Linked DNA regions of Callithrix jacchus. The protein of the gene in region 2 interacts with the protein of the main gene of each other region in a pairwise test. Links are inferred from orthologs where the notes say so. Each region holds a gene or a part of one and is shown on either strand. Other genes may lie near its edges.

Region 1 (4,213 bases), on a different chromosome or scaffold from region 2:
CCCAGCTGGTAAATTGGGGCTGCTTCTGTTATTATTCTACAAGTCCTTAAAGAGTTCTTAAATAGGCCGGCCGCGGTGGTTCACATCTGTAATCCCAGCACTTTGGGAGGCCGAGGCGGGCGGATCATCAGAGGTCAGGAGTTCAAAACCAGCCTGAGCAACATGGTGAAACTTCGCCTCTACTAAAAACACAAAAATTACCAGGTTGTGGGAGGCCGGAGTGGGTGGATCCCTTGACCCCAGCCAACTCGGTAAAACCGCCTCTACTAAAAATACAAAAATCAGCAGGGCGTGGTGGCGGGTGCTTGTAATCCCAGCTACTCAGAAGGCTGAGACACAAGAATTACTTGAACCCGAGAGGTGGAGACTGCAGTAAGCCGAGATCGCGCCACTGCACTCCAGCCTGGGTGACAGAACAAGACCCTGTCTCGGTGGGGCGCGGTGGCTCACGTCTATAATCCCAGCACTTTAGGAGGCCGAGGTGGGTGGATCACGAGGTCAAGCGATCGAGACCATCCTGGTCAACAAGGTGAAACCCTGTCTCTACTAAAAATACAAAAATTAGCTGGGCATGGTGGTGCGCGCCTGTAGTCCCAGCTACTCGGGAGGCTGAGGCAGGAGAATTGCTTGAACCCAGAAGGCAGAGGCTGGAGATCGTGCCATTGAACTCCAGTCTGGGTAACAGCGAAACTCTGCCTCAAAAAAAAAAAAACCCTGTCTCAAAATAATAATTACCTAGAAACTTAAATGCAAACACTTTCCAGCCAGGAATATATTTTAATAGGTAGTTTCCAACTACCAGTGGAAGAACCTGAAAGCCTAGAAGTGGAGTTTTGGGATTTCGGGCAGGCAATGTCTCAGGCACCTTGGGGGATTTTTTTTTTTTTTTTTTTTTTTTTGGTCACTGGATTAAATCAGCACCACCTGCCCTGTGTGACACCAAATACCGCACCACAGCTCACACTGGCCTCATCAACTGACCTAATCAGATACTATTACCAAGATTTTTACTCCATCTAACTCTACTTTTTCTGAGCTTTCAACAAGCCAAACGGCAACTCACTGGCGCCTCAGTTTCTTATTAATTATGCTGTTCTTGGCTTCTAACCAACCTAACACGTGGAACCTTTCATTAGAACCTTCCTCACCGCAGGGTCCGCCGGTCCTACCAGCAAAGCCCAAAAGAAGCAAAATTTCCCGCCAAAGGCGGTTTCCAATTTCTGCGACGTAGAGGACCCGAGGGCAGCCGAAGAGCAGGCGCAGAAACAGACGCAACTTCCTAGCTGTGGGCGCTCATAGGTCCTCCACCGTCCCACAATCCTCTCGTTACATATTTCCGGTTTATCTAGCCCAGCCGTAAGCGGTTTCGCTATCAGTCGAGCAGCTGTGTTCGTGAACGTAGGTGGAAGGGATCGCTTCTCTTCGTTGACGTTGTTGGTGTTCACTGTTTGGAATTAGTCAAGTTTCGGGAATCACCGTCGCTGCCATCAACATGTCGGTCCCAAGCGCTCTCATGAAGCAACCGCCCATTCAGTCTACGGCTGGGGCCGTCCCGGTTCGCAATGAGAAAGGTACGGTGCTGACAACCCTCTTCCCAGCCGAATTTTACTCTTTCGGCCCCAGCAACCTCCAGATCTCTCCCAGGTCTGGAGAGGTCTGTCTCTCCCAGACAGACCACTTCTATCCCGCCAGCTCTCAAGATTTGGCTCCCAAATTCTTCGACCTTTCCACCCCCACCCACTCGCATCCGATCTTCTTCCTGTGGCCTGCTCTCATATTCAGCAAGCACCCCTTAGCCTACACAAATTCCTTAGACTAATATGTACATTATATATATTACATATATAAAAGTACTTAATAGTTACTTAGGAATTTAACTATATATCAGAATATAGATGTCTAATATCCTGGAATATATGTATTAGTCTAATATTAGAATATAATATCACTACATATTACTAGAATATATGTATTAGTCTACTTAGGAACTTAAGTATATATATATTAATCTAATAATTAGGGACTTAAGTATATATCAGAATATAAATATATAATATCAGACTAGATAGATATGTAGGTAGGTAGATACATAGACAGAGAGAATGCCTATTTGCTGGGCATTGTGCGGGATATAGTCCCTCTTTTGCTGTCCATAGAAGACTGCTTATGCTGCCCAGATTGGACTCGACGTCCTGGACTCCGGCTGTCCTCCTGCCTCAGCCTCCCAGGTAGACACCACCGTGTCTAGCCTCAACATGGATTTTGGGAATTATCTTTGAATCCCTATAGATATTTATTCATCTGAACTGCTTATGAATTCCATTGTGTACACTGTAACCAGCCAGAGGCGGTGGCTCACGCCTGTAATCCCAGCACTTTGGGAGGCCAAGGCAGGTGGATCCCAAGGTCAAGAAATGGAGATTATCCTGGCCGACATGGTGAAACCCCGACTCTACTAAAAATACAGAAATTAGCTGGGCATGGTGGTGTGCACCTGTACAGTCCCAGCTACTTGGGACGCTGAGGCAGGAGAATTGCTTGGACCTGGGAGGCGGAGGTTGCAGTGAGCCGTGATCGCGCCACTTCACTCCAGCCTGGCAACAAAGCGAGACTCGGTCTCAAAAAAAATAAATTAATTAATTAAATAAACTGTAACCCACAGTTTATTCCCTCCTGAGGGGCAGGTAGTTGTCCCATTGCTGTTTTTTTCCCCCTGTTAAAAAAGTGCTGCGGCTGGGCACTGTGGCTCACACCTCTGAGGTGGCGGATCACCTGAGGCTAGGAGTTCCAGACCAGCCTAGCCAACGTGGCGAAACCCCATCTCTACTAAAATACAAAAAATTAGCAAGGCGTGGTGGCAGGCACCTGTAATCCAGCTACAAGTTCAAGTTCTGCAGTTGTTGTTCTTTAGCCAATTCAGCTTTAATACCTCTCCAAAGTGAGTTGTAAAAATGTAAGAATTTGGCCGGGCGTGGTGGCTCATGCCTGTAATCCCAGCACTTTGGGAGGCCAGGGTGGACGAATCATGAGGACAAGAGATCAAAACCATCCTGCTAACATGGTGAAACTCCCTTGAACCCGGGAGGCAGAGGTTGCAGTGAGCTGAGATCGCACCACTGCACTCCAGCCTGGCAACAGAGCAAGACTGTTTCAAAAAACAAAAACAAAAAAGAATATAAGAATTTGTGGAGCACATTGGCTCACACCTGTAATCCCTCACTTCAGCAAGCTGAGGCAGGAGGATCACTAGAGGCCAGGAGTTCAAGACCAGCTTGGGCAACATAGCAAGACTCTCATTTCTACAAAAAAATTTAAAATTAGCTGGATGTAGTGATGTGTTCCTGCTACTTTGGGGAAGCCAAAGCAGGAGAATCACTTAATGCCCGGAAGTTCAAAGCTGCAGTGAGCTATGATTGTGCCGTTATACTCCAGCCTGTGCAACACCTTGAGACCCTGTCTCTTCAAAACAAGGCCGGGCGCAGTGGCTCACGCCTGTAATCCCAGCACTTTGAGAGGCCGAGGCGGATGGATCACAAGGTCAAGAGATCGAGACCATCCTGGTCAACATGGTGAAACCCCGTCTCTACTAAAAAATACAAAAAAAATTAGCTGGGCATGGTCGCGTGTGCCTGTAATCCCAGCTACTCGGGAGTTTGAGGCAGGAGAATTGCCTGAACCCAGGAGGCGGAGGTTACGGTGAGCCGAGATCACGCCATTGCACTCCAGCCTGGGTAACAAAAGCAAAACTCTGTCTCAAAGGCTGGGTGTGGTGACTCGCAGCTGTAATCCAAGCACTTTGGGAGGATGAGGCGGAAGGATCACGAAGTCAGGAGTTCAAGAGTAGCCTGGCCAACATGGTGAAATCCCATCTCTGCTAAAAATACAAAAATTAGCTGGGTGTGGTGGCTAAACCTAGAGAGCGTATTAGACACATGAACAAGATGCCCAGCATCACTAGTAATCAGGGGAATGCAAATTAGAATAACAAGATGCCATTTCACACCTGTTCCACCTGTTAGATTGGGCAAAAATGTAAAAATCTGATACAACCAAGTGTGTAAATGATGAATATATGGGAAATAAAGCTCTGAGGTTCTCAAAGTTTTTTTGTTGTTTTTTTTTTACATGGAGTCTCACTCTGTGCAGAATTGCGATCTTAGCTCACTACAACCTCTGCCTCCTGGGTTCAAGCAGTTCTCTGCCTCAGTCTCCC
Region 2 (4,243 bases):
CCGAGAGAGGGACTATGCTATTCAAAATAATTAACAGACATTACTTTATGGATATGGACTTGGGAGGCACTGTGTCTACTTTCGGCTCCTTATGGTTTATTGCTTGATTGTGTTCATTTTGGACCCTTGTTACCTTCATTGTAAAATATTAACTTAAGTATTTACACTTGGTAACTTACCATAACTTACTGGGCGTAACTGTAACTTACCTTGTGATTTAACTTAAGTATTTACAATTGTTAAGTACTTACTGGGCGTAACTTACTTACCGTAACTTACTGGGCGTAACTGACTTACTGGGCTTAACTTACTTACTGGGCGTAACTTGCTTACTGTAACTTAAGTATGTTGATCTGGCGTAAACAACATTAACTTCAACAAAGTATATAATGGAACATATTGCAAAAATAAAATTGCTGCTTGGACATAGCCTAAGCCAGCCCTCCAGACTCCGCTTTTCTTTTTTCTTTCACTTCCGCGCACTCTCTCCCTCAGGTTGAACGAGACATCTACGTTGGCGGTCTCGGGGACTCCCGCAGGTCGGTAGCCCCCCGGCAGACGTGCCGGACGCCAACACACGTGGGAGCTAGGAAGTCCAAACCTGGTTAACCAAGCCCAGAGTTCATCGGGAAAGCACTGTGACAGAGCCAACGTCTTGTCTGAACAAAAGCAACCACCAATGAGTGCAAAAAGACCGCCTGGCGGAGATAGCGGGGACGGGAGGGGGAATTCAACCCTTCTCAACAACAAAAAGCAGCTTTCCTTAGCCCACTCCACTTTTCAGCTTCCTAATTGCCACCCATCCTGTGGGACGGCTCCCTGCCCAACGTAGAAAAAAAGAGGTCCAAAGGATATAGCATCACCTTTGTCCTCTAACCTAGGAGCGAAGACTCACCAGTTTCATAATGGACTTTTGGTGGTTCAATAGCAGTCACCGAACTCCTCAAACCCCGGAAGCGTCTTCCGGTGCAATCTCCGTCACCTGCCCGCCGAGAGCATCGCGGGACTTGCAGTCTTTCATCCTCACGTCTTTTCCAGGGGAATCATGGGAAATGTATTCTCCCAGGCATCATGGGAACTGTGGTCGCCTTTCCTTTTTCTCTCCTTCCTCTCGAACGCCTCCTTCCGTCAGCTCAAATTCATCCCCGCCGCCAATGCATCCTCCCTCTCCACCCCAGCATGATATCATGTCCCCCGTACAGGCCTGGGGCCCATGGTGTTCTGGGATGTGTAGTCCTGATGGCTCCGACCCCCCTTCCTCTCCTCCCAAAGAGCAGGCGGATGAGCGCGGAACTTGCCGGGAGTTGTAGTTCTCTATGGCCTCTAGGCTCCAGGCTCCCGGGTTTTACTCAGGGGAGGCAGGAACTACAACTCCCAGGAACGCACGGCGGCAGCAGGTGGGAGCGGGGCTGTTGATATCAATATGGCGGTTGTCAGCCAGACAAAGACAGTCAGTCTGATGTGATTGAGACAAGGAAGGTTTTCAGGGGGAGACTGGGAGATAGGGGCCTCCCCTCCCCCTTCTCCTCTTCCTGCGCCGGCCTCAACCCCTCCCCAGTCCCCTCCCGACGGGCGCCCCACGCGGAAGACACCCCTCCCCCTTCTGCTTTCCCTCCTCCCTACCTCAGCCTTCCGTACTGGGACGTTGGGGAGGGGGCTTTGCCGGGCGGAGAGAACTCAGCGAGGATTCTGAGGTGAGTCGAGCGGTTTGGAAGCCGGACTACCTCAAGTCTCTTTCTTCACTTCTTTCTCTTCACTTAAAACAATTTTTTTTTTAAAGGGGTTTTGGGGAGGAAGTGAGCGGACGCTGGGGATGGGTCTCGTAAGCGGCCGGATTGAGAGGAGGGAGGAAGCTGGGGGCTTCCGAGTGGATGACCCGGACGCGGGCTGTGGGGTGGGGCAGTTCGTGGGGGCCGGTCCTGGAAAGGCGTCGACTGCCCCCAAGTCTTTCCTCCTGGTTTCCTCCACTATGAGCGGAAGGTTTGAATCCTGGAGGTGGGGTCTCCGGTGTGGAGTTCGGGAAACTGTGAGGTGATTTGCAGGTGTGTTGGTTTGTTTGGGGTAAGTGTGTTTTAAACTGTGTGACGTGTACTTGTGTGCCCTCCTCGTCTTAGAGCTGTGTCTGTAGATGAGAAGTTAGACAGCGCGGACTCGCTCGCTCTGGGCCTGGGCTAAGGGGCGGGCGTGAGGTCCTGGTACTGGGCGTTTGGGCTGGCGACGTGGTGCGGGGCAGCCGGGCTCAGCAACTCGCTCGTGTCCCGTCGTCCGCTCACACTCCGCCACCCGCCTCCGCCCCCTCCCTGGACGAATCTCCACCCCAAACTCCAGCCACGAGAACTGTAGCGATGGTGTGATGTGGAGATGGATTTTTTGCATCCTCAAGTCGGTAGATAGGTGGGAAAGGAAAAGTGTTTCTTAATATTTTATTCCGGAACCGTGTTTTGGTTACACTATTGGGGCTACTTTGAAAGGCGTCCTCCACCCACCTTCACCCCGAAACAGTAGGTAGACGTGTCTTGTCTTCGTGTGAAATAGACGAATAATTGTTGAAGATTCGGGGGGCCTGGGGTGGGAGTCGAGAGTGCTGGGTTGTGTACGCGTCTGTGTTTGTCTACTAAAGGAACAGAATGTCTGTTGTGTATCTTGAGATAGGGCGACTCATTTTTGTAGTAGGAAGAACTGTTGGAAATTATTTGCGGGGCGGGGGGGTGTGCTGAAAGGCGCTGCTTGTATTTTTCTTCTACTCCACCCTGTTCTGTCATGCATTTGCCTGCAAGCTGGTGGAATGGAACAGTGAAGAAGCATTGGGTGAGTGAAGGGAAGAATGCAGTTGACATTAAAGATACCACTATGTAAAGTTGAATGGTATAAAGCCATTACTGTTTTTATTTACGCTGAAGCTTAAAAGAAAAACAAGAACACCCATGTATCATATAGGATAGAATGAAATGACTAGTTCATTTCTCTGGGATCCTGCAGGTGTAGAAGGCTTCCCTCTTCCTTCCTTCATTTTTTCCTTCCCTTTCCTTCCTTCCTTCCCTCCCTCCCTCCCTCCTTCCTTCCTTCCCTCCCTCCCTCCCTCCTTCCTTCCTTCCTTTCTTCCTTCATTTAGTCCTTCCTTTCTTTCTTGGCTTAGTACAACGTTTCTCTTTCTGATGAACATAATACCGCCTGTGCCTTTTTATTTCGTTTGCCAATGTGGTTGTGCTTTTTGTGGTTTTACCGTAAAATGCATCATTAAATGCATTTGTTATTTTGCATTTATGCCGCAGGTAATTAATCACATCAGGATTGCAGTGCTTTGCATTAAAACTTACTTTAAAATTGTACAACTAAGTTGCTTGATCTAGTTTAATTATGTTTCTAAGTCAAAGTTGGGAAATTTGAATTCTAAATTTTTTTCAAATTTCAATTAGAGTGAAAAAAAGTATTCTCGCATCTCTTATTTCTCACAGTTTTTAATAACATACTAGCAGAATATAAGATCACGTATTTTGTACTTCCTTATAAGTTCTTCAGTAACCCTTTTTATGTGACAGGTTTTTTAGTGTAATAGATTTTTAAAATAAAGAAATTGGCATCATTTTCTATTTAGACTGTTAAGAATTGAATATATTCCCCAAACTTACCAATTCTTGAATCTGCCACCTATCATTAGTAAGGGATCTTTAGATTTTATGGTAACTGAAAACCACATAAATAGACTGTGTATTTTATAACCATTGATTTGAATGTTTTGCTGTTGGTCATTCACACAGATAAGGGGGACTGTAAGAGTGGGAAACATGTATATTTCAATTCACCTGACTAGGAAAAAAAATGGTTTCTAAATCTCAGATGTAGAATATACCATATGTTGATTCAAAACTAAGCCTTTAGTTTGTGATAGACCAGGATTTTCAGAATCATTTGTTTTAAGCTTGTATCTTAACTTGAAACATTACTTTGCAAAAGCTGGAGAAAAATCCTATGTAACTACTTAACGGAGTGTTTTGTTTTATTTTTCTGAAACATTATAATAGTCACGAAATTAAAAAAAAATATTTAATATTTTAGAAATAAAAAACCAACATATTTGTTAATATTTGGAATTGGAAAAACATGAGTGTTTTCTATTCCACCTATCCTTACCTCAAAATTTCTTTTGTTTTGTCTATGGAAATGCAAAGTTATTTACTGGGAAAAGCATTCGTTAAACTTTTTTTCTGGCTACCAGCAGGATCACAATCATTACATGTAAGCC

The links.
Region 1: the proteins of HMBOX1 (region 2) and MFAP1 interact in binary tests that used the Homo sapiens proteins (3 or more experiments, as listed by UniProt). The two-hybrid records come from large-scale screens. The link is inferred for Callithrix jacchus from reciprocal best matches to the Homo sapiens genes HMBOX1 and MFAP1.

The regions. Positions count from the first base shown.
Region 1 is NC_133509.1:31,484,433-31,488,645, reverse strand, and holds the start of MFAP1 (microfibrillar-associated protein 1), read left to right. Parts: upstream 1-1,356; 5' UTR 1,357-1,492; coding exon 1,493-1,571; intron 1,572-4,213. UniProt on the Homo sapiens protein: Involved in pre-mRNA splicing as a component of the spliceosome.
Region 2 is NC_133514.1:12,806,036-12,810,278, reverse strand, and holds the start of HMBOX1 (homeobox-containing protein 1), read left to right. Parts: upstream 1-1,411; 5' UTR 1,412-1,694; exon of another isoform or gene 1,695-2,042; intron 2,043-2,466; exon of another isoform or gene 2,467-2,501; intron 2,502-4,243. Other genes in the region: INTS9 (integrator complex subunit 9), read right to left, coding at 896-904. UniProt on the Homo sapiens protein: Binds directly to 5'-TTAGGG-3' repeats in telomeric DNA. Associates with the telomerase complex at sites of active telomere processing and positively regulates telomere elongation.